Linked DNA regions of Danio rerio. The protein of the gene in region 2 purifies or fractionates together with the protein of the main gene of each other region. This does not show direct contact. Links are inferred from orthologs where the notes say so. Each region holds a gene or a part of one and is shown on either strand. Other genes may lie near its edges. The genes, in order: ss18, smarcd1, bcl7a, bicra and bcl7ba.

Region 1 (5,575 bases), on a different chromosome or scaffold from region 2:
TTGTAAAGAAATTATTGAAACTAATGGAGAGAGCAGAGGTCAATGATTTAACAATTTAGCCTGACATTTTACTGTTTCAAAATATTTTATATTAATTTTTCCTAAAATAAAATCTATTGTGTCCAATGGGGAAAAGTTTTTATTATTTTTACCCAGACATTAAAAAAACTTTTTTTTAAAAGCAGTAATAACAGTACCGTGAAACTATGGTATTTTTATACAAGGTTATCATACCGTCAGAAACATACACCAGCCCATGCCTAAGCAGGACAATGATCCAAAGCACGCCTGTTAGTCCACTTCTAAATGGCTAAAAACAAAATGAAGACGCTGGAGTGGCCTAGTCAAATTCCTGACCTGAATCCAATTGAGATTCTTTGGCATGACCTTAAAAAGGTGGTTCATGCTGGAAAACCCTCCAATGTGGCTGAATTACATCAATTGGCAAAATTCTTGACTTTTAATATTTGTGTTAGTGTGATGGTCTGGGGCTGTTTTGATACTTCAGGGCCTGGAAGACTTGCTATGATAAACAGAACCATGAACGGTGAACCAAAATATCCTGAAGAAGAACAACCGAATATCTGCAGAATGACTAGGCATGAGATGATAACCGGTTTCAAGGTTTACCGTAGTTTGTAAAACTTCAGTTATACCTTTACTACGGTGTAAGTTGTTTTTTTAATTTACTATTTAGCCTGACATTTTACGGTTCCAAAATATTATAAATGTTTCCTAAAATAAAATATATTGTGTTTAGAGGGGAACACTTTGGAGTGGCCTAGTCAAAGCCCTGACCTGAATCCAATTGTGATTGTTTGTCATGACTTAAAAAGGCGATTCATGCTTGAAAACTCTTGAATGTGGTTGAATTGCAACAATTCTGCAAAGAAGTGTGGCAAATTTCCTCCACAGCACAGTAAAAGACTCACTGCAAGTTATCGAAGGAGTTTGATTACAGTTGTTGCTGCTGAGGGTGGCCCGAACACTTATTAGGATTAGGGGGCAAACACTTTTTCACACACGGCTATGTAATTATATAATTATATGTGATAAATAATCTAATTTATTCCCCCTTAATAATAAAAACGAATTTAAAAAATGAAATCATTTGAGTACTTGCGTTATCTTTGACTAATATTTAAATGAGTTTGATGATCTGAAACATTGTGACAAACACTCGTTAAAATGTTTTTGTGTTTTTACTTCGTTTGACTGCAACACAATTCAAACACGACTGAAATTCAAACCACGACAGTACCAGACCTGTTTAATCGAATTTCAGCAAGACATACATGTCAATTCAAACGGAACGTCCCACCTTCAAAAAATAAAAAAAGGGAAAATAAATTTGTACACGGTCGATAAGCACACGGGACGACACTTTGAGCTACTGTTCAACACTTGGACTCAATCTGAGCTCTATTTGATAAAGCATAAAATACATTTATACATCATAGCATAGTTTTGCACCTGAAATTGAAAATAAAAAGAAACATTTCCCACCCCTCCGCTGGCCTTCATTCGCACCTCAGCGTTATTGCTTCTCTGACTTCAGCAGGAGAGTCGAAAAACACAAAAACAACAACAACAACAACACAATGAATCTCATTAGAAAAACAAAACACGTTTCGTAGCTTATAAACATCGCTGTGTGTGTGTGTGTGTTTATGTATTTTCACGGATTTCTTTGTTGCTGTAGATAAGGCAGCTGTTTCACTTAAGGCATCGCTGCTATGAAATTGCTTCTCAAAAAACGAAATAGTTTGAAGTGTCAAAACTTATCCTTTCATTATTTATTTATTTTTTTTAAGCGAGTTTGTGTGGGTGTTTCACATTTACATGACCTGTGCTGAGAATCGAGCCAATGGTTGTTGGTTGTGGTCAAAATGCTTGTGGCCGAATGAAGAGTTCAGTCTACGTTAGCGGGACAGGTTCATCTCTTCGTGATGGTGATGTTTAGAGACTCTGAGAGAGCGCTAAGATGCTCTTCATCAGATCACACACAGCTCCGACTGGGAAACACACTGGGGCAGATCGTCAAAATCCTCATCGTTTACTGCTGGTAGTTTCCATACTGACCCTGTGGAGAAAAACACAGAGCACTTTTAAGTATGAGAGAGCTCACAGCCAGAATTACTCTTTTAAATCACGTAAACACTACATTAATGTTACTTAAAGGGATATCTCACCCAAAAATGTATGTTTTTATGACCTTAATACACTGCAAACAGTGTTTGGTTAGTTCCACACAACACTCAATTGCTGAATATACACTATAAACGTTAATTCAAGCACTTTTAAGGAGATATGTTTGTTATTAAGTGCGTTAATTCACATTCAAGCACTTTCATACATCATGGGAAGCCACAATTTACATTTTTATGAAGCCAGATTTCTATAGATCTCTTCAGGAGTACTGTTGTTTGAGTGTCTCACCTGGTCAAAAGCATACGGGCGCTGTGGTTGTCCCTGTGGTGGTCCGGGTTGCGGGGCTCTGTAGGCTGAATACTGCTGCCCTTGACTCTGCGGGTAGTTTGGGTACTGACTTGGAGCGCCTTGTGATGGACCTGTAGGAAAGCAGAGCGTTTGATTGCATGCTTGATCATATTCGCCTCTGCCTCTTCACATACAAGTACAAAAGTACAACTTAAAGGGGTAGTTCACGCAAAAATTTACTCACCAAGTTGTTTCAAACTTCTACGATTTTCTTCTATTGAGCACAAAAGAAAATATTACGATGGAAGCGGAAAACCAGTAACCTTTAGAGTTGGAAAAGCAGATACTATGGAAGTCAATAGTTACGGGTTTTCAGCATTCTTCAAAATATCTTCTTTCGTGTTCAACAAAACAAAGAAAAGATTCTGAACAAGTGAGAGTAACTAATGACAGAATCTTCATTTTTTGCGTGAACTCACTTTAAGTGCAGATGTACTTGCTATCCAGTGCAATCAAGTGGAAACATGAAGAGGTTTTAAGCCAATAAAATTCCCTTCACAGTGTTTATAATTGCAAAGCTGATCTACTGGAGGGCCGAAAAAGCAAAAGACAAAAAAAAAAAAAAAAAAAAAAAACACAGACAGAAGATGGAAAATTTCATAATGCATGTTCTTAAGCTTGTGTTGGCACTTTTTCTTCATTTTAATCTATTTATATTTGGCACATGTATTTACGTACATTTTTATAAACAAATCAAAAGTAATTTAAATGTAAAAAGAAGATTAAAATAAAGTAACGAGCATGCTGTTTGTCATCAAATAATTCAATAAATGACAATTCATAATGCAAAAGTGCATTTTTTATGGATGGCATGATGAAATAGTCTGCTCTCCGGCTCTATCTAAACTCGCTCACTGATTTTCACTCTCTTTCCTCATATTGTCCATTTAACTGTCAAAAACTGCTTTGGGATTAGCAAATAAGGTAACACATGAGTCATTTGACAGCGTCTCGATTAGATTTCTGCACAGGACTTGGACTAGGCCTCTCCAACAATTCATAAACGCAATTATGAATGTTTTATATTGTCCTTTTAACTGTCAAACACTGTATAGGGATCAGCAAATAAGGGAACATGAGTCATTTGACAGCATCTTAATTAGATTCAGGTCAGGACTTTGACTAGGCCACTCCAACAATTCATAAAGCCAATTATGAATTTTTGATATTGTCCTTTTAACTGTCAAACACTCTTTAGGAATTAACAAATAAGGGAACAAGTGAGTCATTTGACAGCATCTCAATTAGATTCAGGTCAGGACTTTGACTAGGCCACTCCAACAATTCATAAAGCCAATTATGAATTTTTATTATTGTCCTTTTAACTGTCAAACACTGTATAGGGATCAGCAAATAAGGGAACAAGCGAGTCATTTGACAGCATCTCAATTAGATTCAGGTCAGGACTTTGACAAGGCCACTCCAACAATTCATAAAGCCAATTATGAATTTTTGATATTGTCATTTTAACTGTAATAAACCGTGAAAGGATTTGCAAATAAGAGAACAAGCAAGTCATTTGATAGCGTCTCAATTAGATTCAGGTCAGGACTTGGACTAGGCCACTCCAACAATTCATAAAGCCAAAATAAATTTTTGATATTGTCCATTTAACTGTAAAACACTGTATAGGGATCAGCATATAAGGAAACAAGTGAGTCATTTGAAACACAGCTAGTGACTTAAAAGCTAAAGGCAGCTTTGTTTGATTAGGGTTGGAGTTAAAGTGATAGTTCACCCAAAATTGAGCATTTACTCACTGTTTACTCACCCTCGAGTGGTTCCAGATGTTGTGTTGTTGAGCACAAGAGAAGTTAATTTAAAAAAAGCTGAAGCCCATTGACTTCCACAGTAGGAATCACAAATATTATGGAAGTCAATAGTTACAGGTTTTATTTTATTTTCTAAATATGTTCTTTTGTGATCAAAGAAAGAAATGCAAAGGTTTGAAACAAGTAAAGGATGAGGAAATGACAGAACTGTACTTTTTGAGTGAACTATCCTTTTACTTTACAGGACAGTGACCGCTGTTGCCCATCCCTGATCTACTTTATTCTGATCATGTCATCTCTTCATCTAAACTACACTTTGAATAGCAGGAGTATGTTTGTATGAAGCATCTGCGTGAATGGACACAGTGCTGGATCCGTCGGTGTGTTCGTACCGTAGCCCTGCTGCTGTCCCGGGTATCCCTGCTGCCCGCTGTACTGCTGCTGCGGTGGGTAACCCTGCTGCTGAGGCGGGCCCTGCTGATATGCCTCCTGCTGCTGACCATACTGTGTGTTTCCTACAGGAAGATTACCACACACTTCAGCAAACTACACTAGTTACGGGGCCGAGCGAAGCAGCTATTGCTGGTGGAAATAGAGGAATATGGAGCTGTGGCAAATTTGCTTAAGAAATCATTTCTGAGATTTTCAAAATGCACCACTTTTCACTCTTGAATCAATTCAGAGCTTAGTTTATAAACAGTAAATGGCTAGGCTAGCTTTTAACAGCATTCTGGGCTCGTTTTCAAACATTAGATGGCGCTCTAGACTACTTTTTAAACAGCAGATAGCGCTCTAGACTAGTTTTTAAACAGCAGACAGCGCTCTAGACTAGTTTTTAAACAGCAGATGTCACTCTAGGCTAGTTTTTAACAGCAGACGGCGCTCAAAGCTAGTTTTTAACAGCATTCTAGGCTAGTTTTCAAACAGCTGATAGCGCTCTAGGCTAGGTTTTAACAGCAGACAGCGCTCTATACTAGTTTTGAAACAGCAGATGGTGCTCTCGGCTAGTTTTTAACAGCAGACGGCGCTCAAAGCTAGTTTTTAACAGCATTCTGGGCTAGTTTTAAAACAGCAGATGGTGCTCTAGGCTAGCTTTTAATAGCAGACGGCGCTCAAGGCTAGTTTTTAACAGCAGATGGCGCTCTCAGCTAGTTTTTAACAGCAGACGGCGCTCAAGGCTAGTTTTTAACAGCAGACGGCGCTCAAGGCTAGTTTTTAACAGCAGATGGCGCTCTCGGCTAGTTTTTAACAGCAGATGGCGCTCTCGGCTAGTTTTTAACAGCATTCTGGGCTAGTTTTCAAAC
Region 2 (6,065 bases):
CATTATTTATTTTGGGTATTGCAGTTTAATTCACAGAATTTCTAAAAAGCATGTTGTATACTGTAAACTCGCAGACTTTTTTGGTCACATCCATAATGCATGTTTATTTTCCTTATTTAAAGTACAAAACATGTTTACAGAATAATATTTTTCTGATCTCTTAACTCTGTGGTTAGTTGTTTTGGAAAATATAAACAGACATTTCAATATAACGTTAACGTATAATTTCTCTGTGAATTTATGTTTTTAGTTTTTACAGCAAATGTCACATCCATAATGCTGGGATTGCTCATTCATTTTTAAATCCTGGAACAACTCAGATATTTAGTCACAAATCAGCACACAAACAGTTGTGTTCATCACTAAGAAAACAAGTGCTGCTGATCATCTGAATGTTGGTGCAGACGGTCACTGAAACTTAGAAACATCTCATGTCAAGCAACAGTATAGGCATGGGCTGGTATAAGATTCTGACAGTATGATAACCTTGGATAAAAATATCACTGTATCACGGTATTGTGATTACTGCTCTAAAATATGTTCTTCTTAAATGCCTGGGTTAAAAAAAACAAAAAAAAAGTCCCCATTTGAAAACATTATATTTTATTTTTTGAAAGATTTATAATATTTTGAGCATAAACATGTCAGGCTGAATGAATAATCCAAATGAATAATTGACTTCTGCTGTCTTTATTAGTTTCAAAAACACAGATTTCTTTACAATTTAAAAATTCTATGGATTTTTTTTCTGCTGGAGATACTGTCGTCATAAAAAACAAAATACATTTTTTTACAAATACTTTAGGAATGGTGTTAAAAAAACATTTTAGCGGTTTTAAAACCTTGACTTTTCCAAACCGCAGTAAACCTTGAAAACGGTTATCCCATGCCTACAGAATATGATTATTTTCCCAATCTTATTTATTAGCTAATAAAACAATTGAGGTAAAGTTAGTTTTATATTCATATTCTGACTTTCTCAATAATTTCAGAAAAGTATTCTTTGCAAATACTGAATAGTGAAATCCTATTAGCAGCCCATCTCTTTTAAAGTACAAATGTTCAGTTGATTAAGAAGTGCTAATGTTGTTTTGTAGTCATACTTGTATGCAATTTCAGACAGAATATGCATAGCGTGGTAAACAATATGAGGACTGTTAAAATGAACGAATGTGGAAGTATAAAACCAACTCGGGGTTCATTCACAATTTTACGACTAAAATTTCATGACTTTTTCAAAACTAAGGTAAATATTCATGATGTTGTTTCGTGTTTAATGCAATGTCTATATCAGGTGTCAGGAACCTTTTTTCAGCAAAGAGCGATTTCAGATTTTTTTTTAATCAAATGCATTTTTTAAAAAGCCATATGGGTTGTGTGTATGACAAAACCTTTATATATTTATACACAAAACCTTTATTTATGTCCATGCATAACTCAAAAATAAAAACAAATATGGCAAATCACAATATACGAAGAAAGGCCAATGTAAATTTTTCTTTTTTTTGCCATCGCCACCCGAATGTTTGAATTTACGTGCATGAGGTTACCAATGAAATGTAAGTTACCATAGAAATGTAACAAATATAACTTGCCTTTTATTGTTGTCGCGATTCAAGTAAAACCACAGCACCACGTATGCTATGCACATTGGTTGAAACGTCCTTTTATTGCTAACAGTTCTTATTCATTTTGATGTAGAAAATACAATATAAGGAAAATTGTAATTGTATTTTCAATAGAAAACTGATTTCTAGTAATTAAAATTTTTGAAATATTACTGAAAAGAGATAGCTGGATAGCCACATATTTTTGTTTACAGAGCCACATGTGGCTCCCGAGCTATAGATTCCCTACCCCTGGTCTATATACATGTGGTAAATAAGTAAAAAAAATGCACCTTCCAATTTGCAGCATATCAAAAAAATGTGACAATTCATGTAGTTTATATTCATATCTGTAAAATAGTTTTTAGAAATTATCTTACTGTCTGCATGAAAATTCAATAATGTTGGCATGTGTTTTCACAAGACTTTAAATTAGTACAAATTAGCCTTTAGCACCCACAATATTTTACCTTTGGAGTTAAATATTTCTTGACACGAAACTCAAAATGCATCTTGAATTACGGTAAAAGCGAGGTGAAGCTATAACTGCTTTTTGGGGTAAAGTTGGTTTTATATTCACACATTAATTCAGCAACAACTTGTGACATGCTCCCTATATTGGTTACCATAGCACTTTGAATATTAAGTCTGAAATGCCATATGTGTCTGCTTGAAAACAACATTAGCAATATTTATTTGAACGTGAACAATTTTGTACTTTGATAGTCTTTGGCTGCAAACATGATTTCACTATTTAGAATTTACAAAGAACATTTTTTGTAAAATAATATTATAGAGGACAAAGTCTAAAGGTTTAAACATAACCAACTTTACCCCAATAAACTGCTTTTGATTTTTGAAGTTATTTATTATAGTTTTTTTTTTTTTTACCCATTTCATTTTTTTTAAGTCTTCCCATGAAATATAGTGTCAAGTACCAGTCAAGTTAATCTCAAATATACTCAAGTACACGTAATTGTTGAGCAAATTTTCATGATTTTTCCAAAACATTCTGGGTTTATGTGTTTTTCCAAAACTTTTCCAGGCCCGGAGAAGGCCTTTTTGAAATTTCATGACTTTTCCAGGACTGTATGAACCCTGCTAACTATACCTCAATACGAAAACATACGTTTGTTAGTCTAACGTTAATAAACAGGACAGAGGTAAAGTTGGTTTTATTCGCACATTCAGACTTCCCCTTTAATAATATCATTTCATAAAAGTATTATTTGCAAATTCTAAATTGCAAAAACATATTAGCAGCCAATGACTATCAATCATTGTTCACAGTCAATTAAGTGTTAATGTTGTTTTCAAGTCACACATGTAACGTTATGCTAATTCCGATCGAATATTCAGAGTCACATGGTAAACAATACAGATACTTCTAAATGAACCACTGTGCGAATATAAAACCAACTTTACCTCTATGTAAACTAGGGAAATTAAATGTTTATACTTTTTACATTTAAACCATATTCTTAAATCATTAAGTAGCAAACTATATGCAAAGCAGATGTAATTTAGGCAAAGACTTGCTCTCATGTAATGCACAGAATACATCAAATTAGCATATAAACACTGGTCATCAAAGCAACCAAAGCCATCATCATGATGCTCCTGTAGGCCGCGCGGTTACACACAGAGCTTCCGCAGAAACTCTGTTTACACCATCAAAACCAACTGCAGGTTAATATTCCTCAAGTCATTCTCAAGTGAAACACAAACAAATAATCTAATTTCTGGTTTACTGAAATAAAGTTTGACGCTTAGCATTGAACCAAACGGTAAGCAACGCAACCACAGTCGAGCATAATAATAGAGTATATTCTCAATTTAACACTATAGAAACCATTTTAAACGGATTCAATGTTGACGCTTTAAATAAACGAGCAAATTCTGCGTTCAGACTTTAAAACTAAAGCCCTCGGTTTATGCGCGGCTGCTTCTTTGTTCTCCTCGCGCCTTACCGGGTAACCGGGCATCGGTGATCGGTACATGTGGTTCTGCGGGCCGCCTGGTCCCATCCTTCCTGAGGGTGTACCGGGACCCATACCGGGTCCTGCTCCGGCTACCGGCGGCCCGGGTCCCATCGGGGCTCCGCCGCCACCGGGTGTCGAAGGCTGAAAACCACTCCGCGCCGCCATCTTCTTCTCCGCGAGCCGCAAACAGACAGAGAACCACCGGTGAGACTTGAAACTAGTATCGCGAGAATTGAAGAGCACAGGCGTTCAGAGCTGAGGTAGAGTCTCGCGAGGTGTGAAGAGACGTCGCGCTTGCGCTGACGATGAGAAGGGTAATCCTGCACAACTGGAGTGGCTGCACTCTCAGGACCGCATTTTTAGGACCGCATCTTTAGGACCCTAGTTTTTTGTGACAGCGTTACCTGTCGGATTGGATCATGGATGCGCTAATGGACGACACGGATGACAAGGAAAGTGTAAGTACCGATTTTTCTATTAAGTTTTATTTTAAACTGTTAAAGTATGTGTTTATTTTGTAATGCTGCTGTTTTATACTGTGAGTTTATGCAGAAATGCCAGATTAGCCTGCATGATTTACCCCACTTTTAAGGGTCTGGGACAAAAATGTTACGTGACGATTTTTTTTCCAGAAGAAGAATAAAATATTATAATAATAAATATGGATAATTTTACACAGCCAGAGTGAGAGCTGCTATAACTGTTAATAATTTTCTAGAGTTCGTTTTCTAGTTTGATTATACGTCGTTCGTAACTCGTGACCATGGTTTAATGAAACATTGTTGATTTAATGGCTTGTTGACTTAACGGCTAATGTGCTTAGTGACATGCATTAAACTAAGATGGTAAAAGCACGTTTGATGTAAGAGTTTTAGATTTATCTATATTTTACTGAATTCGTGTTATTCGTTGTATTACATTAGCACATTAAAAATTGTGCTGACTGCCTGTTTGCCCCACAATACTGTATGTGTTATTAGCCTGATGTTTTGTCATCGTTTTACAGTGATGAATGAGATTCTGAAAGTTAGGCTTATTCTGCAGGTCTTAACCATATAGAGTCTCATATCTTTAATTTATATCAGGTATGTTTTACCTGGCGAAAAAGAAGTGATGGCCAATATGATTGGATTGCTTAGGCTCATTGTAGGAGGAAAAGAAAACAAACTACAGGAATATTTTCATTGAGGTTATCTCAAACTGTTGAGTAACACTTTATAACATCTGCATACTATAAATAAATAATTATTAAGCATTTAATAACTAGTTAATTTATTAATATTTTATTTGTTTAGCATTAACTCTACATTTAATAGACATTGATAAGCAGTTTATAAATACAGTTACAAATGCTAGCTGTGTTCTTGAGTTTATAGCATATCTATGATGAAGTGCAGATTATCTGTGGTGTTCATTTTCCAGAGGAATGTCTGGCCAAATAAGTATATAAACTGCATGCTGGGTGCTACTCATTTATGAATCCATGTAAAATGATTTGCTGTTCTGTGGTGGTATTTTAGTTCATATTTAATGATTTTTTTTTCAAAGGCCATCGTACATCCTCTGGGTGTCTTGAGGAGCTGGTCTTTGGATGATGCTGAGCAGGTCTTTCTTTCTGGTAAAGATTATCATTACAGGTCAGAATATGGTTAATTTTGCACAATGCTCAAAGAGCCTTTTTGTTACTGGTATATATGTTAACTCAACAGTGGATTTGCTTTTTTTAGTGTTTGGACTTTCAGCAGTGAATACTAAACCACACTGAACTGAACTGAATTTAATAAATGTTAAGCTGCTTTGACACAATCTACATTGTAAAAGTGCTTTAGAAATAAAGATAAAATTAATTGAAATTGAATTGAATATTCAACACATTTCCATTTTTCTCAGAAAACATATTTATAAAGGTGCTGTTGACTTGAAATTTTCACCAGATGTTGATAACAATTTGTAAAGTAATTAGATTTGTTTTCTATTCATATATATTTTTTCTTTGGTTTTCAGGTCAATAGCACCTTTAGAAATATGTTTTCTGAGAAAAATGGGAACTTGTTGAATACTTATTTACCCCAGTGTGTATGTATATATATATGTATGTATGTGTGTGTGTGTGTGTGTGTGTGTGTGTGTGTGTGTGTGTATTTATATGTATGTATTTATGTATGTATATATGTATGTATATGTGTGTATATATATATATACTTGAACTTTCTTCTTCACTCTCATTCACAGGAGCTAAAGTCTACAGCCAGTCTGAATGCAGCAACTGAATAAACAGTGGAGTCATTTTTGTGGTTGAATTGCATTAATAAAAATAAAAGTGTGGATATTTATATAAATGTACATTCTTGAATCTTCCTTGCGTCTTGTCTCTCTAAAACCTTTACAACCTGGTTTTAAATTAGTAACTGCAAATGCTGATCCCATTTGATTTCAATTTATTTTCCTTAATACTGAGCTAATTAGTTCAATGTAA
Region 3 (6,172 bases), on a different chromosome or scaffold from region 2:
CCTAACTCACCTCAGAACCTCAATTTTTTAAAAATAAATTGTTCTTTAAAATTCCATAGTCGAGTGTTTATTAGTTATGCAAATAAATCCTCGGTTCTCTTTGATTTCTAGTGTATCTTTTTTCTGTTGTATTTGTGCACAAGAGCAGCTTCTAGCCCTTTGTCAGAGATATACAGATCACAGAGTCATGTTTCCCTGACAAGATGTGCATGAGAATTGCAGCTTTTGCTTAATTAATCATAATCTAGTTTTCATTTCAGATAATCTCACAGCCCTATTTATTATCATGGCAGTATGGAGCAAGTAAAATAGTTCACACTGCCCGATTTTAGCCCTGATTTTCGTTCAATAACAGGTCTTGTATAATTGCTGACAAATGCCTGAAATCGGTTTTCATGAGCGACATCACAAAGCACAATTTACTAAAAACGCAATCTGAGAGTATCGCCGACGAGACACTGATGGCTGTAAAATATTTGGCATACTAAATATCTGGACTGGTGATTCAAAGTCATGCTGTGTAGAAGAGTTCTGACTAAAAAACAATTAACTGATGACCAACAACTTTTATAATGCCACAGTCTACCACTTTCGTTTCTTTCATTCATGATCATGTGGGAACAGGGCCGGCGCGTCCATAGAGGTGACCTAGGCGGCCGCCGAGGGCGGCAGTATAGAGAGGGCGGCGTCCACGACACCTCCCTTACCACCCGCATCCTCAGTTATGTCCGCGACACCTCCATCAGCACCCGCGTGTCCTCAGTTATATCCGCGCATAGGACAGCAGAATTGAGGTCCGCGACACCTGCGCATCCTCATTTATATCAGCGAATAGGGCGGCAGAATAAAGAGCTCAGTGTCTGCGACACCTCCCTCAGCACCCGCAGGTCCTCAGTTATATCTGCGCATAGTGTGCCACATAAGAGGTCCGCGACACCTCACTTCATTTTCATAACCGGTCACTTTCGTTTTCTCATTGGGGTTGAGGGCGGCGTGATTGTCCTCTGCCTAGAGCGGCAGTTCAGCTTGCTCCGGCCCTGTGTGGGAAGCACCAACATGTTTTATCATGCTAAATGCATTTTAAGGTTCTGTTATAATGCTGCTTTGTGAGCTCTAACAAAACACAAAACATGTTAAACATCTTTGGTGTTTCCCACTACATGTTTTCTATAAAACCAAACCAAGGGTGGTCAAGGGTATTTGACATAATTAGCATGGGAACACAGGACATGGTCCTTGTCACTAAAACTGCTTATTTCTTTGGACTTAAACATTTTTGAAAGCATTACCAGAAAATAATAAAAAATATATAACACTATGAAAAGGCGACACGGTGGCTCAGTGGTTAGCACTTTCACCTCACAGCAAGAAGGTCACTGGTTTGAGTGCCAACTGGGTCAGTCGGCATTTCTGTCTGAAGTTTGCATGGTCTCCCCGTGTGGGCGTGGGTTTCCCCCACAGTCCAAAGACATGCGCTATAGGTGAATTGGGTAAGCTTAATTGTCTTTTGTGTGAGTGTTTCTGAGTTTGTATGGGTGTTTCCCAGTACTGGGTTGCAGCTAGAAGGGATCCGCTGTGTTAAAAATATGCTGGATAAGTTGATGGTTCATTCCGCTGTGGCGACCTCAGATTAATAAAGTGACAAAGCTGAAGAAAATTGAATAAATTAATAAATGAACATGTTCATTTACACGTTCATCTTACATGTTTTGCCTTTACATTGTTGGTTATGTTTTGGGTTAAATCATAGGCAAGTGAATGTGCAAATTAGCGTCTTTGCTAATAATGCACTCACATATATAACCTCTGCAATGTTAAAGACTATTTGGCTAAAATACATTATGATTTTCAAAATGTAGCAATCTTTTGATCTCAACAAACGTTACTCTTTCTCCTTTCAGGGTCTCTGTTGGAAAGTGTGCTTCCAGCTGAAATCACCATGGACGCATTTGCCTCAGATATATTGGGCTTTTCTGTCGCCACCCAGGAGCTCCATCAAGAACACCACGGACAGGAGTCATAATATATTTACATTTCCCTGCTTATGTTCATGCGTTGTCAATAAGTAATGTATTTTAAAACAGATGGACTGTTATTGTGTGGTTAGCGAGCTGTTGTGTTATATGTTTGCGTTCAATTCTTTCGCATAGAGATAAAATCATACGAAAATAAAACATGTCGTTTGTCAACATGCTGTCGATTGAAGTCTCCATTTTTTCCAGATACATTTATAAAACGTGTGTTGATGTCGTGGTGCTGGTTTCGATTCGCTCGTCTAGCTCAGCAATCTGATAAAATATCGTTTTCTTTGCTCTGTTCGCCAACAAAGGAGCGAAACGCGTACCCGCATTGACCGTGTCTCTCATGCTTCGAGGGCATTTGGCTTCAGCGCAGGCGCACAAACCCCGCCTCTCTCCTGTGCTGTGTGCATTCGCATTGTGTCTAAACAGGCAGCGAGCAAAAAGATATTTTACCAACAGCAGTAATGTCGGGCAGGTCGGTTCGAGCGGAGACGCGGAGCAGGGCGAAAGATGACATCAAGCGGGTTATGGCTGCAATTGAAAAAGTGCGGAAATGGTAAGAGAGAGCGTCTATCCGTTAACGAACAGCACAGACAGCCTGTGGGGGAGGAGAGACACCGAGAAACAATGAAATGAAAGCGAAGAGAGCGTTTATTCCACTCCAATTTCACTCAGATGTACTGTTTCTGCGATTCTGCGCGCGGCTGCTCCTTTGTCGGCTGTGTGAAAACATAGTTTGGGAAAATGTAGATCGCGTTTTTTCTTCCATTAAATTTTTATGTGGGTTGAACCTAGAAGCCATTTCGTTGCAGTCACATGAAGGCTTTGCTGTTAGAGCCTGTAATGCCGGCTGAATAGTAACCGAACGGGCTGACATGAGGAAACTAGAGTGAACCGTCCGTACCGAACAGAAAGTGCCGGTGAACGGGCGTTTGACTCGTTCATCTCGTGTTGAAAGTGAGAGAGTCGCGCTTTGAGCGGCGGCGCGTGAGGAGAGTTTGATCCACGCGCGGGGTTTTAAACTCAGCCCTGAGCCGCAGTTTCACATACACTTTTTTACACTTCAAGCAACTGCTGGGGATTTCGTTTAAACTTAAGTTTAAGTTGAATTAAGGGTTTTCAAACCATGACAAATTATTTGTTGGACTAACAATAATTACCAAAACAATATTTATTCTATAAAAGTATACATGTTAAATGAGAAACAATCGTGTTTTTGTGGCAACGTGCGATTAAAATTGTACACATCTGTGAGCTAGTGAACTGCATTATTATTAGTATTTATTTTTATGATAATAATTATTTACTATTGATATCGATAATTTGTTCAGTTGCATATTCTGCAAATGCATCTTGCCTAAATAATGGCTCATCTGAGATTTCTTATGCCTCTAAATGTAAGTGATTTAGTGGTTTGTCCTCATTTGTCTGGCGTTTCCTTTGTCTTTGATATCTAACAATAACATGCATCTCCAGGGAGAAGAAATGGGTGACTGTTGGTGACACGTCACTGCGAATCTACAAGTGGGTACCAGTGACGGAGCCCAAGTCAGATGATGTAAGTGACATTTATTTACAATAACGCACAGCTGTTGCAGTTTTGATAACCTAATAATTATTGTAACATTATGGACCACAACCAACAAATTCATTTGAAAGTTGGAACAAAATAGTCAAGGTAAAATATGACGCAAATGACTTTTTAATGAGTAATTCTATAGTTATTATTTTTTTAATTTAGTAAAGGTAAATTAGTAGTGGTATTCGTTGAGGGGGAAACATATTTCAGTTGTAGCATAACACAGACCAGTATTATTGTTTTTAACAGAGATTAAATTCATATTTATTTTAAATAAAATAAGTTAACTAAAATGAGTCGTATTTAAAACAGACACAACATATTTTACTATCTTCTTCATATGCCTTGATTGCAATATGTATTTATGTCACACAGAAGAACAAAAATAAGAAGAAAGGCAAAGATGACAAGTATGGCTCTGAGGTCACGACCCCTGAGAACAGCTCCTCTCCTGGAATGATGGATATGCATGGTAAAACTGTACACCTAAACACATCTCAATGTTTTACCTTTTTCAAATTAGTATTACATGCAGTAGTCTTTAAACCAATTTATGTGAGAATTTCAAATTGTGTTCTTTGTGATCCTCAAACAGTTGGTCTAATATGCATGACTAAGATTTTGAAGTGTTACCTGCTTTTTATTAGAAAAAAATCATTATTATAATTATTAATGATGGCAGCTTTGAATGTGCATTTTTTCCTCTTAACCAATAGAGGGAGTTGATGAAACAGTTTTACTCTGTGAACTGGTTATTTGCTATGCTATTCCGACCTGTAACCACCTATTAACAGTTACAAATGCATGGACATTTTCAGATATTAAAACTTTTTTTGTTTCTATTTTTTTACCCACAGATGACAACAGTAACCAGAGCTCGATTGCGGACTCTTCCCCATTGAAGCAGGAAACCAGCAACAACACTAGTCCAGCACCTGAGCCCATGGCCGCTTCTCAGAATGACAGCAGTGACTTGAAAAACGACCAGTATCCTTCCAAACAGCCTTCATCTGGTCAGGATCATAAGAGTGGTTTGTGCATTGAATCCTCTAGAGGCTTACTATCCACTTGTCTGTGTTTTTGGTTTGTTTGTTTTAATGAAACCTTGTCATTATTTTCAGAACAAAACCACTGCTCATCGGAGTCTATGACAAGCAAAAGGGACAGCAAGTCACAGGGGGATTCAGAAAGCTTTTTAGACTCTTCCAAATCGGCCCAGGTACATACATACAGCATCACTTGCATATTTATTCATAAATCAACAGTTTTAAAATAAGATTTAAAATAGTTTTTAAAATACATCCATATTGCTCAATGAGGTGTTTAATCCTAAATACAGCAAAACAGCTATATTGTGGATTAATGTTACATTTCATGATTCATATTTTATTTCATAGAACAAAGTAAAGTTGTTCCTAAACCTTTTATCCTAAAGCTAGAGATGTGCTGTTGTGAACCGAGGCTTCGAAGCATGTATCAAAAAATAATACATCTCGCAGTAAAGCAGTGTACCGGAGTTAAATTTGTTTTGCCATAATCACATGATCAGTGACGTACGAAGCTTTATTTTTACCCATACCCACATGACTGCTTTAAATTTTGATTTAAAGGTTTAAACATCCTTGCAGGTTAGGAAAGTGTATAGCGAGAGATGAGGTGTCGATTACTTTAATTTCTACTGCTTCAAAGCACTGCACCAGTGCCCCGCACAGACTAAAGTATAATAGTAATTTATAGTAAAAAACTTTTTAACCATACTAAAGTGTATTATTTTTTTTTTAGAAGGCCACTGCATATTGTAGTATAGTTTGTAACGGAGGCCAGCTGGCAAGTGCATAGCAAAAGCCTCACTTCCATAGCCTCCTCCTTAGAGCATTTGCCTCCCGTGCAAGAATCACCGGTTTAATCCAATGACCGTAAAAAATATGGACGACGCGACAGCCCCTTTTCCCATTGAACGCCTTGAGGGCAAAACGCCTGCTTGACGGGCACAAACTGTCGCAAAAGACTGCTGAAATTGGAGCCTTGACATGCGCAGAAGGAGTGCCTGATGGAGCCAGAGGAGGAGCTGCGAAAATGAGTGGAGTCGAGCTTCCAACCAAACGCTTTATGTAAAATCAACCACGCCCCCGAACTTCTCAGCATGCGTTTGCTGTCATATCAACACAAATGGATGTAATAACGTTAACAAATATGAGGGTTTTATATATTCAATCGCGCCAGCTCCGGGCCGCAGCACATAACCTACTCGCGGCGTCGCGGGCTGATTCCGGCTCGCATGCGGCAGCGCCGGCTCGCTCGGCCGCCGCATCTGGCTCGATCGACTCAGGCTGAAATTCGGGCAGTGAGTCCAGGCATCCGGAGTAGGTCCAGCAGAGGTAGTCAGTCTGAGCTCTGAGGGGTATGTCTCCGGCAGGCGAGAATCTAGCCGGAACTGGCCCGAGTGTATTTTGCTATCTGGGTGGTTAGGCGTGTATCAACAAACTAATAAAGCCCGAAAAAAGCCCTGACCTTAGCGAATAAACAGTGTTCCACCAGATCATGTATGTCAGAAACTGTAGTTTACTGCTGA
Region 4 (5,617 bases), on a different chromosome or scaffold from region 2:
CCAATCAGTACTGAAATTTTAAAAATGTTGCGTTATTTCCCGCGAACATTTAAGCGATGTGAGCACATTCTTAAACAGCACTGATTTACTATTGTGTTTACATACTCAACAGAAATGACTGTGATTGGCTGTGAAGGTCCTCGGTTTGCCGAACTCACCGCTGTTTACGGAGTGTAACCACAAAAAAGGACACTGGAGCGTTTTAAAGCCGATTAAGCAGACTGCTCGTATGTCCGCTTATAGACAAACCAATTAATCGACATGACTTTGAAACGCTCCAGTGTCCCTGTATCTATGGTTACACTCAGTGTACAGCGGTGAGTTCGGTGAACTGATGACCTTCACGGCCAATCACAGTCATTTTTGTTGAGCACGTGAACACAATGGCAAATCAGTGCTGTTTAAGAACATGCTCAACAGCGCTCAAATGTTAGCAGGAAATGGAGTTTATTTTTTTTATTTCAGTACCGATTGGTATCAAATTCAGCATCGTGACAATCCTAGTTTGTACCATGAAAGAAGCTCAGCTGCTCAATAATACCATGGCAACAAAGAGTGATTAATGTCAAACAGCTTCAATTTACCTGAAAACCAAAATAGAAGCAAATTAAAGCTAACTTAGCTAGCTAGCTAACCCAGATTTATGGTACAAGTCCAGGATAAGTTAAATAAGAAAGGCTTAAATTGTGCAGAGTGGTGGAGTCAAGGATCATCCTTTTCACAGGTTACACTATCATTACAAAGACTTCCTATCCATAACTGTTCTACAATTCAGTTTCACTATCGTTTTTGATTGTTCTGATTGTTTTTTTAAGTGCATCACTAAAACAATGAGCAATTTCTCATATCTACAGTGCAAAAACAAAACACCACACAGCAACAAGCTACAATAAACAAATAAGAGTAGGATAATATACAAGCAAGAAGAAATAGAAAAGGAAAAATCTTGTTTCAAAACATCAAAAAGGAAGTTTTCGTAAAGACTTCAAAAGTTGAAGTACAAAATGTACAAACTTATATAAACATCTAAAAGATAGATGCTCTTTAAATGCAATACTTGAGCTTAATACTGGGAGGGTAGACAACTCACTCAAGGACAACATTTTTGCAGAGAACAAAAAAATAAAAAATTGGTTCACATACAGACAAGGAATATTCTAAAGAACAGTCTACAAACCAAAACAGATTTGCTGGTAGGATCAGAAGGCAATTCAGGGCAGCGAGAAAGTGATCAAGATCAAATCTTTGAAAGTGATCTTGAAGGGAATTAATTTAATTTCTCTTGGGGGTGGTGGTTGTGGGGGCTGATTGGGGTTAAAAACAGCAGTTACTGAACGTGAGGGCAGCAGAAGGAATGAGTACTGAGAATGTTAATCTTAATGGATAAAGTGAGTGGCAATGATTTACAGCAGATAAACTGTTAGGAATCCATCATGACATGCCTGTGAGAAGATGATGCAAACACACACACAACCAAAAAATAGAGTACTATTATTGCATGTGACACCATTCGAAGAGTAACAATGGCACTGTTATTTGCATCAACCCTTTTTTTAATTAGTGTCAATGTAGTTTTGCAAGCTTTCGGCTCAGAAATAATCATGCAAACAAACAACAGGACATGTCTTATTAGGGGAAAGAATATCGTGCAATAGGCAATGAAACTAATGGATGAAAATAATGAATCTCTCATTACATTATCAATGACAGAAACAGATAATAGTCATCGTGACAGATGCAGAATGAAAAAACGGATTAAATACAGGCAAAAACAAGAAGTGGAAACAAGTGAAAGAGCAGTAGCCTGAGCAATGACAGTAGAAGGACAAGAGGACAGAAAAAGAGGGAATTCTGCTGGGAGACAGTGGTCCAATACGCAGCAGTGGCAGCAACAAGTGGGTGGGGCTTAGCACAGAGCATGAGCTCATCTACCTTGTTAACCACTGTTGCCATGTGGGCAGGACCAAGGGAGGGACTGGGACTCTGCCTCTGCCGAGTCTCAGCTAACAAGTTGTCATGGCCTGAAGGGACGGGACCAGAACTGCTGCCGCTGACGATAACAGATGCAGGTACACCCACAGCGGCAGGTGGGTCTTTTCCTGCGTGATGCTGTTGCTCCTAACATAGGTACATTTATCAGTTCAGGAATGGGAGAGGTAAAACAATCATTCAAACTGGTCCAGAGGTCAGCTTGGGGCTCTAAATGTTGTTATGTTAGCACACAGTTTGCAAACAGCAGATAAAGTTTAAAGAGAGCACACTGACCTGGTGCAGGAACATTTGAAGAGGCTCCTGGCTCAGGATCATGCCGGAACCAGGTGACGTGAACAACACTTTTCCAGGGCTGTGCTGGGCCTGTGAACACAGACCCACCATTGTGGATGCAGACGTGGCCATCGTTGGGGATGGAGATGAAGAGGAAGGAACCGAAGCTGCTACTGAAACTGGAGGCGTCGTCTGAACCGTGAGAATTGAGGGCTGAGGTTGCGTCTGTGCTGGTTGAGCAGCAGAGTCAGAAGAGCCGCCCAATACAGTGATACCCTCTCCTGGCTGGCATGGCGCCATTGCCGTCGATCCACTGCTACCATTATTAGGGACGCCGCCAGACTGCTGCAACGTCTGTAAACTGACTGCTGGGCTAAGGCTCTCCACAGACAGGGAATTCTGTATAGGCATGCCCTGAATGACCGTTTGTACATGCCCGGTTACCGGATGAGATTGTGTCTGAGTATGCGCCAAAGACACCGGCATTTGGAACAGTGCAGGCTGACCCATCTGACCAGGCTGGAGCTGGATGTGTCCAGAGAGAATGTGGGCTGCACCAGGGTGGCCCTGTGAAGCCAACACCTGTCCCAAGTTGATGTTCTGATTGGCTGTCAAGATCTGATTAGCGATTATCTGCCCTCCAGGCCCCTGACTGGTTATGATGTGTCCACCAGGATGCTGAGCCAGGATCTGGCCTCCTGCTTGAAGCCCTGGTAAGAGGAACTGGTGGTTTTGGCCCTGCAGGACAGTTTGCGAGGGAATGACAATGCTGCCCTGTTGGTTTAACAAGTGAACACTGAGGGGTTTGCCTGAAGTTTGAGGGCCCTGCTGTTTAAAGAGCGCTTGAGAAAACTGTGTTCCCTGCGACGCTGCCTGTGTGCTCAAAACTACGTTAGAGCCAGGCTTCCCGGTGAGGAACGTTACATTCTGACCAGCTGACACTGGGATTTGCTGTACCCCCAGAGCTTTATTAGCATCATTTGGCAAGGCATGTGGGGCAGGAAGCTGTTGTTGTTGTTGCTTGAAGATTTTGGGTTGGATTGTACCCCCTTGAGGAGGTTTGGGCTGTATTGGCGTTGGCGTTCGCTGGATGATGACATTCTGCATGATTTGGCCTTGAGGCTGGGTCTGAGATCCAATTCCTGCACCCAAAGAGGCATTACTAAAACCCACTATACCACCAGCAGTGGCCATTGTAGTTGCACTGTTGTTGGTATTTGTGCTGCCTAAGCAGACAGCTGGCCCATTTAAGGCAGGGGACCCGAGAGTGGCCTTGCCCCCTTGAATTACAAGTCCACCTCCTGAACTCAAAACAGAGCTTCCAAGCCCAGCCTGCGTTCCAGCGCTTGCTGCCTCCGGCCCAGGTTGATGCAGTTGGTAGCCACCCATGGTTTTCGTCAAGATTTGCTGCCCAGATGGATTTATAGTCATTACAGTGGGCTGACCCACCACTTGAATTTGTCCAATGCCCAACGGTCCAGACTGGCTGCCGTTCGGTAGGGCCTGAAGGCTCGAAATTGGCTGAAGTGTTACATTTCCAAGTCCGACTTGTTGTACAAAAGGCTGGACGCTGATAGCCTTGTTCATGACCTGTTGTTGAAGCTGCAGACCTGGATGTGCCAGGACAGAACCAAGCATGTCTGGAGTGGGATTTGAGGGTGCGGTAGGGGTGCCTTGGTTTGGAAAAATCTGAGTTGCACCTCCAATGCCCACCCCAGACAGGCCGGCATCAGGCAGGGGTTGAACCACCTGCGTAAGGCCAGTTAGCCCAAAGGAACTGAGGTCAAGCTCAGCATCTGCCTCTTGAAGGCTCTGCTCTGTGATGTTAGCCTCCGCCAAGCTCTGCTGCAAAATGTCACAGGGCTCATGATTTGTCCCAACACCATTACTTCCATTGTCTCCTCCTGGCGATCCCCCCAATATGTCATCGTCCTCCAAGAAGTCCAAATCAACGCTGACTCTTGGAAGGCCCGGCTCACTTGTCGACAGCTGAACCTGTGCCGGAACCTCAGGAACATGGCCCTGGAAAACACAGACAGACTTTTTAAAAACTAGACCCAGTCACATTTTCAGAATCATATGAAATAACATGCTAAGGATGGATTTGGGATGGTGGCACTCCTTTGGGACTGACTGCTGTAGTTGCAGATCTGGTGCACAATGCATCTGATTTGGATGGTGGGGTTGAGGAGCACATGCTACGAAAAAAAGGATGGAGCCAGGAGGTTGGCGCAAATGGGGGATTTTACTCACCCCAGTGCTGGAGAAGAACGAGCTGGACGGGTCACCTGAGCCATCCAATAGGTCATCAGTGTCCAGCTACAGACAGATATACCCAGGATAGGACAGGCAGAAATCACCACAGCACACAGACAGGCGTGTGAAAGCGACAGGGAGAAGACGCACAAGGGGCAAATAGGCAGACAAAGAGGAAAAGGCAAGGGAAGAGAAAAGTGAGGACAGTGCACCAATCAACCAGAACAAAATGCAGGCACAACCAAGTTAAAAAGCCAAGCAAACAGGAAAGAAAACAGGAGTCAAAAGACAGGAAAATTAGATTAGTATGTCATATACGTGAATTAACCAAAGAGGGAAAAAATCAGGATTGAAATAGAAATTAAGAGGAGCAATTATGTTCTAAAGAAAAGATCAATAAGCTTGACAACCCTTTTAGGGGAAGAAATGTAAAAATAACCCGGAAAGAATTAGAAGGATCAGGGAACTCTTGGTGGATGAGGGTGTTGTGTTTTTCTGTGATGTATCTGGGTTACATTATAAAAGTGTGCCCACCACTGGAAGTACTCACTTGTGTTTCTGATCCATGAAGAAAATCGTTGAGTGCTTGTGGGTCACTGTACAAGAAAGTTGTTATTTAGCTTGGTCTACAATGCAACAAAACAAGCTAATGACACGTTATCCTCTTGTTAAGTCATGACGTATCGATGATGTTTGCAATATTGTTTCCAGGTCCAAGCCGCTACTCATTTGAATTGAGAAAATATTAGCTTATAGCCACTTTTTAGTCCTATCTCATATTAAAGTGAATTTTATATAAAATCATAGTGTATACATCAGTCTCTGGGATTGCTGCATCACAGACACCAAAATTTTAACAATTTATAAAAAAATGTATCACTTTCTGGCCATCGGATTAGCCATGGACATATATATTGCGGTCATGATTTTCGAAAGTATTACATTGCTTAGTAAACATTTATTATTATCATTTGATAAGTCTCCCCAAACAGTTTGATATAGCACTTGGACCTGGAAGCCGCTTTGCGCGATGTCACACTTAACAAGTAGATAAACAGTTATTTGACATTTTTGAGGTAACATATTGAACTTACCA
Region 5 (6,079 bases), on a different chromosome or scaffold from region 2:
TATTAATTATGTAATGTAATCTATACACACATTTAAAAATATATAATATAATGTAATATAATATAATATAATATAATATAATATAATATAATATAATATAATATAATATAATATAATATAATATAATATAATATAATATAATATAATATAATATAATATAATAATGAATGCATGGTTCTGTATGAGTCTCACCTTCCATGATCTCCTGGCCGAGGGTGGGTGGCTGTGGGTCATCAGTCCTGTAGTCTAGACTCTGAGGTGCCGGACTGACCGGCTCACTGGCCGGTGGACTGGAGTTATTGCTGCTGTCTGCGGCTGCTTTATGCTGGTATGAGTCTGACAGAGAACTCTGGTTGCTGTTTTCATCTGGCAACCAGGAGAATATATCCAATTTACATGAACGAAAGAAAATTATATAGCTTTGAAACTCTTTTAGGGTGAGAAAACACTGGCAGAATATTAATGTTTTGGGATTTAATGTCCTATTAAAACATGTTTACCTTGAAAATCTAATAGCACAGAGCAGGCATTATCAGAGGACTCCTCTGAGGGAAAATTCTTCCGCTGCATTTCTCCACCCACAGACACTTTGCTCTTTTCCTTCTGAAAAAAAAATCAGGTGATGGAAACAGTAAATACAGTGAAGGAGTTTGGAAATTACAGATCCTGATCAATATGTATGAGATGGAGATGTTGTATTTTTGTGAAATGTGACTGAATTTAAATCCCATTCAGCCAGATGGCAATTAAAATCAAGAGAAAGAAGCATTTTAAATGTGTCATACCTCCTTTGTGTCCACCACGGGGACCCATTTAAATATTCTTAATGATGTATCTCCAACTGTGACCCATTTCTTCTCCCTGAAATGGAGCAATAGGAGTTCAGGTTTCCCATATACATCAGACCGCAGTCATAAACTCATTATTCATACACCTGCTAGTTGTGTGGTTTTAAGCTTTTCCTAAAATGTTATTTGAAAGAATGCATAAAAGCACGCAGATCAGTCTGAATGGGTACTCAGAAAAACTAAAAAAAAAGTCCAAAAAGTGCTCTGTCCCTGGGAGCATCAGAGAAATGACCACTTACAATATGTTCAAAAAACATTTCAAACTCTGAGTAATAGAACAAAGACGTGTCATCGTTTATATAAGCTTGTACCTACCTATCATGTTACCACTTGTGCCTGCCATCTTAATGTGTTGTTTAAATGTGTTTAACTACTCTTATCTCTATTGCATAATGTTGGTGTTTTTAGCTTATTTTGTACATATACTTTTTTATTAAGATCCACTTAACTATGTCGATTTCAGTGCTTCTTGACTATACTTGATTGATTTTATAATTTTTGGATTTTTTTAGGGTGACAATTTCAACATTTGTCCCGGGACAACGGATGAAAAACAGCCTTATGGCTAATTCTGGTGCATTTGCAGCAATGCTAATTAATGTACACTGTCCCTGCCGAATAAACAAATAACTAAAAAAATATTCATAAATGCGGCAACACCAAAGCTCCAAAAACTCAAAAAATATAAATGTATTACTTAAAAAAGCCATCACAAAGCGTGTTCATCAGACAATATTGATCATAGCATGTAGCTTTTATACACCTCTGGATTACATTATCTCAAACATTAAATCACAACAAAAGAAAAATTAACATTAATAAACTGAACAACTTACACATTTGCTTTTATGAATATTTGTGCCCCTAAAATGTTATTTATAATGTAAGGAAAACATCTTAAATACAGTGTTTATTTTGTCGCACTTTATCAATTTATCTCTGAATTTCTATAACAATACATGAATTTAAAGTCAAAATCTCCACATCAGCATTTGTATACACCCAAATTTGCAGTTTAATCCATGTATAGGCCTATATTTTACAGAGGAATATGTTCACACATGATTTGCCTGATACGCTCTCAGAAAAAAAAAAATGGTACAATGTTGTACCAAAGAAGGTACAAACTCTTGTCACTGGAACAGCACCTTTTTATCGAACAGAAATGTACCTTAAGACAAAGAAACAAATTAGTATCATTGCAGTTTTCAACTTTAAGGACATGATTTGTACCATGGGAATCCAAATTGTACCTTTAGTTTTTAAAACCTGCAGATACAATATTGTGCCTTCATCAAAGATACAAATCTGATCCATCAAGGTACCACAGGTACAGGTATAGTGACAAGACACTTTAACAGTGTCAAATGTGTTCCTTCAAGAACTGTTTAAAGGCTTTTTGCTTTATCCAAAACGTGTCAATTTATTTTTAGTAAATATAAAACATCAAATACATTTTTAAACAGTGTTTTTTTAAGTTTCTTTTTGAGTTAACGCACCTCTTCAGTTTACAATAAAAGAATAAAAAATACTTTAATACTTTTTTGCTAAACATTTCACAACACTTTTCACAAAAATGTTAAAGAAATACATTCTCTCATGTACAATATTAAACATTTTTCCAATTTTCACACAATACCTTTGTAATCATCTATAAGTTCATTTAATTTACATGTTTTTAAAATAGAAATAGAGTTATGCAAAACTATTGTAACGAGATATGCACAATGTTTGATTAGTTTTACATTACTAAAATGTCTGCATGAACACTGCATATGCAGGACTTTTGCCAGCTCATGTGTGTAGTGGAAAGCAAACGCCAAAAGGTGCAGATATCAATAATAAAACTGTATTTATCAGAAAAAACTAATAAGTGTTTATTAAAAATGCCTTAAATATTTAGTTTACAATACATTTAGTTTTGTTTTATAGAACTTAATAATTAATGTTGATGAGTTTCTTTAAACAAGTTTTTTAAATGATGATTAATGTTTTAATATGGAAATTATTCATGAAATCACTTTGCCTTTCCAGTGATATTTACTTTCATGGATATTGTAAAAAAAGGAGTTGTCCAACACTTTTGTACGTTTGTTATGAGAACAATTGTATACCTTAATTTCAGATGTATCATAAAAGGTACAGAACAGTATCACAAGAGGTCTTTTCAGTTCCATATAAGGTACGACTTTTACAAAGGTACAAAACTGTTCCTTAAGGGACATTATTTGTACCACCGTGTACCTTTTTGTAGTATACATATGTAGTGTACATTTTATTCTACTATTTCTTTCTTTTCTTTTTAGATGTTCACAGTATTATCCTAATTGAAATAACATTTGTAACATTTGACAATAATAAAGTTATGAACACTATGTTTAACCTAAAACGAGCACATACTTCATATTTCAAAACTTTTTAGAAACCTTGTAATACAAATGTAAACAAACAACTACAAAAATATGGTGATAACTATTATTCTTTATTTGATTCACCTGCATTGTCTTGCCCTAAAAATACAACCATGCAGGAAAATAGCACTTCTCAAGCTTCCAATTGAAGAAAGTTTCCTCTAAAAGCTGTTTTTTTCTGGACATGAGGGATTACAGTCCATTTGTTGATGAGTTATACACTATCCAATATCCCCATTTATCTTAATCACAAAAGTGCTTGGGTTTTACAGGGCTGAATCCTGATGGGATGTACTTGGATTAGCCGTTTGAATAGTAAATTCGTAAATGATTAGATAAAACTGTGTAAAAAGGACAATTAAGTACGCTATTAAATATTTCTAACAGACTTTAAACTTCTTCAGCAGAAAAAAAAAACCCGTTTAAAAGTCCCCTTTAGTCCCGCCTCTTTTGTGCCGCTTGTCCTTTCATAAAACAAAGACAGGCGGCCTGCCATTGGCTGAATCTTGTGTCAATCAAACTGCATCCTCTTATGAAAGTCCTCCTCCTTTCCGACTGAAGTTTCTCTTTTGAAAAACAATTTTCTCTTTCAAAGTGTCGTGACGGCGCTCGGCGTACTCACCATCTCCGTACTCTCTCGATGGCAGCCATGACTTTCTTAATGTCATCTTTAGCGCGGCTCCGGGTCTCCGCGCGGACCGAACGACCCGACATTTCTTAATTTTATCGGTACTCTTACTGGAATCGTGTCGGTCTCGCAGTCTAGCGGCGCAAATCTCGTCTCGCGAGAACTCACGACTCTCTCCACTTTCCACAGCTTGACAAGTAGATCCCACCTACTTCCAGAGGACACAGGTGGCTGCTGTTAAGAGTTTTTATTTATTAGAAAATGAGCAAATACCTATATATTTATCAAGTCACAGATTTATTACTCAATACGTATTGTAAAAAATCGTATTCGTTTACCCTAAATACGTTTACACAACTCCTCACAGTTATAGTTCATTTCAAAATAAAGGTCTTTAGTGACTATTTTTTTAAATACTATATTAAAACAAACATGTAATACAAGAAAGTATAAAATAAAATGGCCGCTGTAGCTTTTATTATGTTAAATGTAACATATGTAAGACGAACCAAACAGCCCTCGTGTTATTTATGTTAATCAACCTAAAAAAAAAACAACAAAATATATTAAAATTAAAAACATTTGCTAAATTAATTTAAATAAATATATTATTTAATTCTTAGAAATTAGGAGGCTAAGTTTTGTAAATGGTGTCCCAAATCTTTCCAATGCTAGTAAAAGTTTTTTTTATTCATTTGCTGACAAATTTCTTACCTATGCTTTCTTTGACAAATCAACAAAAATCAAACTAGTATTATTAAGTTTATTCTTTGTAGGGCAGTATATTATGTGGAAGCTTATTTCTGTCACAGAATAAAGTTTTTCATCTCACATTTCTGTCTTTGTCCTCCTTACAGATGTAAATTTACATCTTAGTTTGGACTTTTGACAAACTTCCACTTGTGAGAGAATTGAGAATTTCACTATTTATCACTAGTATATAAACATTTATGAGTTTGTAACTTCTGTTGAAGAAAGCTGAAACCCTGCAATCATTGACTTACATAATCGGAAAAACAAAAACTACAGACATCAATGGTTACCCGTATTTGGAAATATTTTTTGTGTTTAACAGAAGAAACCAGTTCATAAAGGTTTGAAACGAGTAAAGGGTGAGAAAATGACACAATTTTGACAGAGTATGTGTGTGAATGGAAGTGTGTGGGTGTTTCCCAGTGATGGGTTGCAGCTGAAAGGGCATCCGCTGCATAAAACATATGCTGGATAAGTTGACGATTCATTCCGCTGTGGCGACCCCAGATTAATAAAGGGACTAAGCCGAAAAGAAAATGAATAAACGAATGTCCCTTTAAGACCAAGAATGTGAGCTAATAAGCAAAAATAAACATTGCAAATTCTGATTTCTTGCAGACTTTAAATTATTTCACCTGTAAAACAAGGGACCTAGTCTTTCCCCTATCATACTGAGGGAATAATGTAACTGTATATTATCTGCAATTATCTGGGGAAGTCCTGTTTTATATATAATGGGAGCTTTTTTCCCTCCGTTGTCCGGTTTTGAAATTTTTCTTTGTGTAATCTTGTAAAGATGTACTGTTAGGTTTATATTATTGTGAAAATTCATTTATATATATATATATATATATATATATATATATATATATATATATATATATATATATATATATATATATATATATATATATATAAAACACAAATAGATGACATTAGATCAGTGTTTCTCAACCCTGGAGGCACACTAGTATATATATTTTAAGGTCTCCCTTATCTGATCCATTTATTTCAGGTTTTGGAGTCCCTTCTATTGTTCTGCTGAGTTGATTCTGGTGTGTTTGATTAGGGAGAGGTTGAAAATGTGTACTGTTGGTGTGTTTTCAGGAACAGGGTTGGGAAACACTGCATTATGGCCTGTTTCCACTGAGTGGTACAGTTCGCTGCGCTTTTATGGCCACTTTTTTGATACCATTTTCAAAAGGGTACCAAAAGGTGAAGCAAGACGCACAGCTGAACGCTATTGGTTTACAGAAATACATCACTAGCACATGCACAAGCCAGGAGAATCAAAACAATGGATGCGCCATTTTTAGATTCACAGCCATTACATAGTAATAATATATACATATATTAACGACCAATGGTCAACCCTAGCATAAACAAACCTTGTCATCTTGATGAACAGCCACAAAGCCAAGAAGAGCAGAATCTACCCT

Evidence for each region.
Region 1: the proteins of smarcd1 (region 2) and ss18 purify together in Homo sapiens (affinity purification with mass spectrometry; 5 studies listed by BioGRID and IntAct, counting the BioPlex papers as one, with this or other methods). This does not show direct contact. The link is inferred for Danio rerio from reciprocal best matches to the Homo sapiens genes SMARCD1 and SS18.
Region 3: the proteins of smarcd1 (region 2) and bcl7a purify together in Homo sapiens (affinity purification with mass spectrometry; 5 studies listed by BioGRID and IntAct, counting the BioPlex papers as one, with this or other methods). This does not show direct contact. The link is inferred for Danio rerio from reciprocal best matches to the Homo sapiens genes SMARCD1 and BCL7A.
Region 4: the proteins of smarcd1 (region 2) and bicra purify together in Homo sapiens (affinity purification with mass spectrometry; 5 studies listed by BioGRID and IntAct, counting the BioPlex papers as one, with this or other methods). This does not show direct contact. The link is inferred for Danio rerio from reciprocal best matches to the Homo sapiens genes SMARCD1 and BICRA.
Region 5: the proteins of smarcd1 (region 2) and bcl7ba purify together in Homo sapiens (affinity purification with mass spectrometry; 4 studies listed by BioGRID and IntAct, counting the BioPlex papers as one, with this or other methods). This does not show direct contact. The link is inferred for Danio rerio from reciprocal best matches to the Homo sapiens genes SMARCD1 and BCL7B.

What each region holds. Positions count from the first base shown.
Region 1 is NC_133177.1:1,523,168-1,528,742, forward strand, and holds the end of ss18 (protein SSXT), read right to left. Parts: intron 4,787-5,575; coding exon 4,664-4,786; intron 2,571-4,663; coding exon 2,440-2,570; intron 2,084-2,439; coding exon 2,057-2,083; 3' UTR 1,187-2,056; downstream 1-1,186. UniProt on the Homo sapiens protein: Appears to function synergistically with RBM14 as a transcriptional coactivator. Isoform 1 and isoform 2 function in nuclear receptor coactivation. Isoform 1 and isoform 2 function in general transcriptional coactivation.
Region 2 is NC_133197.1:7,413,215-7,419,279, forward strand, and holds the start of smarcd1 (SWI/SNF-related matrix-associated actin-dependent regulator of chromatin subfamily D member 1), read right to left. Parts: upstream 3,782-6,065; 5' UTR 3,755-3,781; coding exon 3,578-3,754; intron 1-3,577. UniProt on the Homo sapiens protein: Involved in transcriptional activation and repression of select genes by chromatin remodeling (alteration of DNA-nucleosome topology).
Region 3 is NC_133180.1:42,612,664-42,618,835, forward strand, and holds the start of bcl7a (B-cell CLL/lymphoma 7 protein family member A), read left to right. Parts: upstream 1-2,420; 5' UTR 2,421-2,485; coding exon 2,486-2,577; exon of another isoform or gene 2,578-3,416; coding exon of another isoform or gene 3,417-3,418; intron 3,419-3,497; coding exon 3,498-3,579; intron 3,580-3,975; coding exon 3,976-4,072; intron 4,073-4,457; coding exon 4,458-4,613; coding exon of another isoform or gene 4,614-4,631; intron 4,632-4,721; coding exon 4,722-4,819; intron 4,820-6,172. Other genes in the region: cfap251 (cilia- and flagella-associated protein 251), read left to right, coding at 1,902-2,023.
Region 4 is NC_133193.1:47,592,740-47,598,356, reverse strand, and holds part of bicra (BRD4-interacting chromatin-remodeling complex-associated protein), read right to left. Parts: coding exon 5,616-5,617; intron 5,118-5,615; coding exon 5,072-5,117; intron 4,585-5,071; coding exon 4,519-4,584; intron 4,288-4,518; coding exon 2,266-4,287; intron 2,119-2,265; coding exon 1,933-2,118; intron 1-1,932. UniProt on the Homo sapiens protein: Component of SWI/SNF chromatin remodeling subcomplex GBAF that carries out key enzymatic activities, changing chromatin structure by altering DNA-histone contacts within a nucleosome in an ATP-dependent manner.
Region 5 is NC_133185.1:38,244,631-38,250,709, forward strand, and holds the start of bcl7ba (B-cell CLL/lymphoma 7 protein family member B-A), read right to left. Parts: upstream 3,992-6,079; 5' UTR 3,974-3,991; coding exon 3,882-3,973; intron 862-3,881; coding exon 786-861; intron 604-785; coding exon 501-603; intron 367-500; coding exon 193-366; intron 1-192. UniProt on the Homo sapiens protein: Positive regulator of apoptosis. Plays a role in the Wnt signaling pathway, negatively regulating the expression of Wnt signaling components CTNNB1 and HMGA1.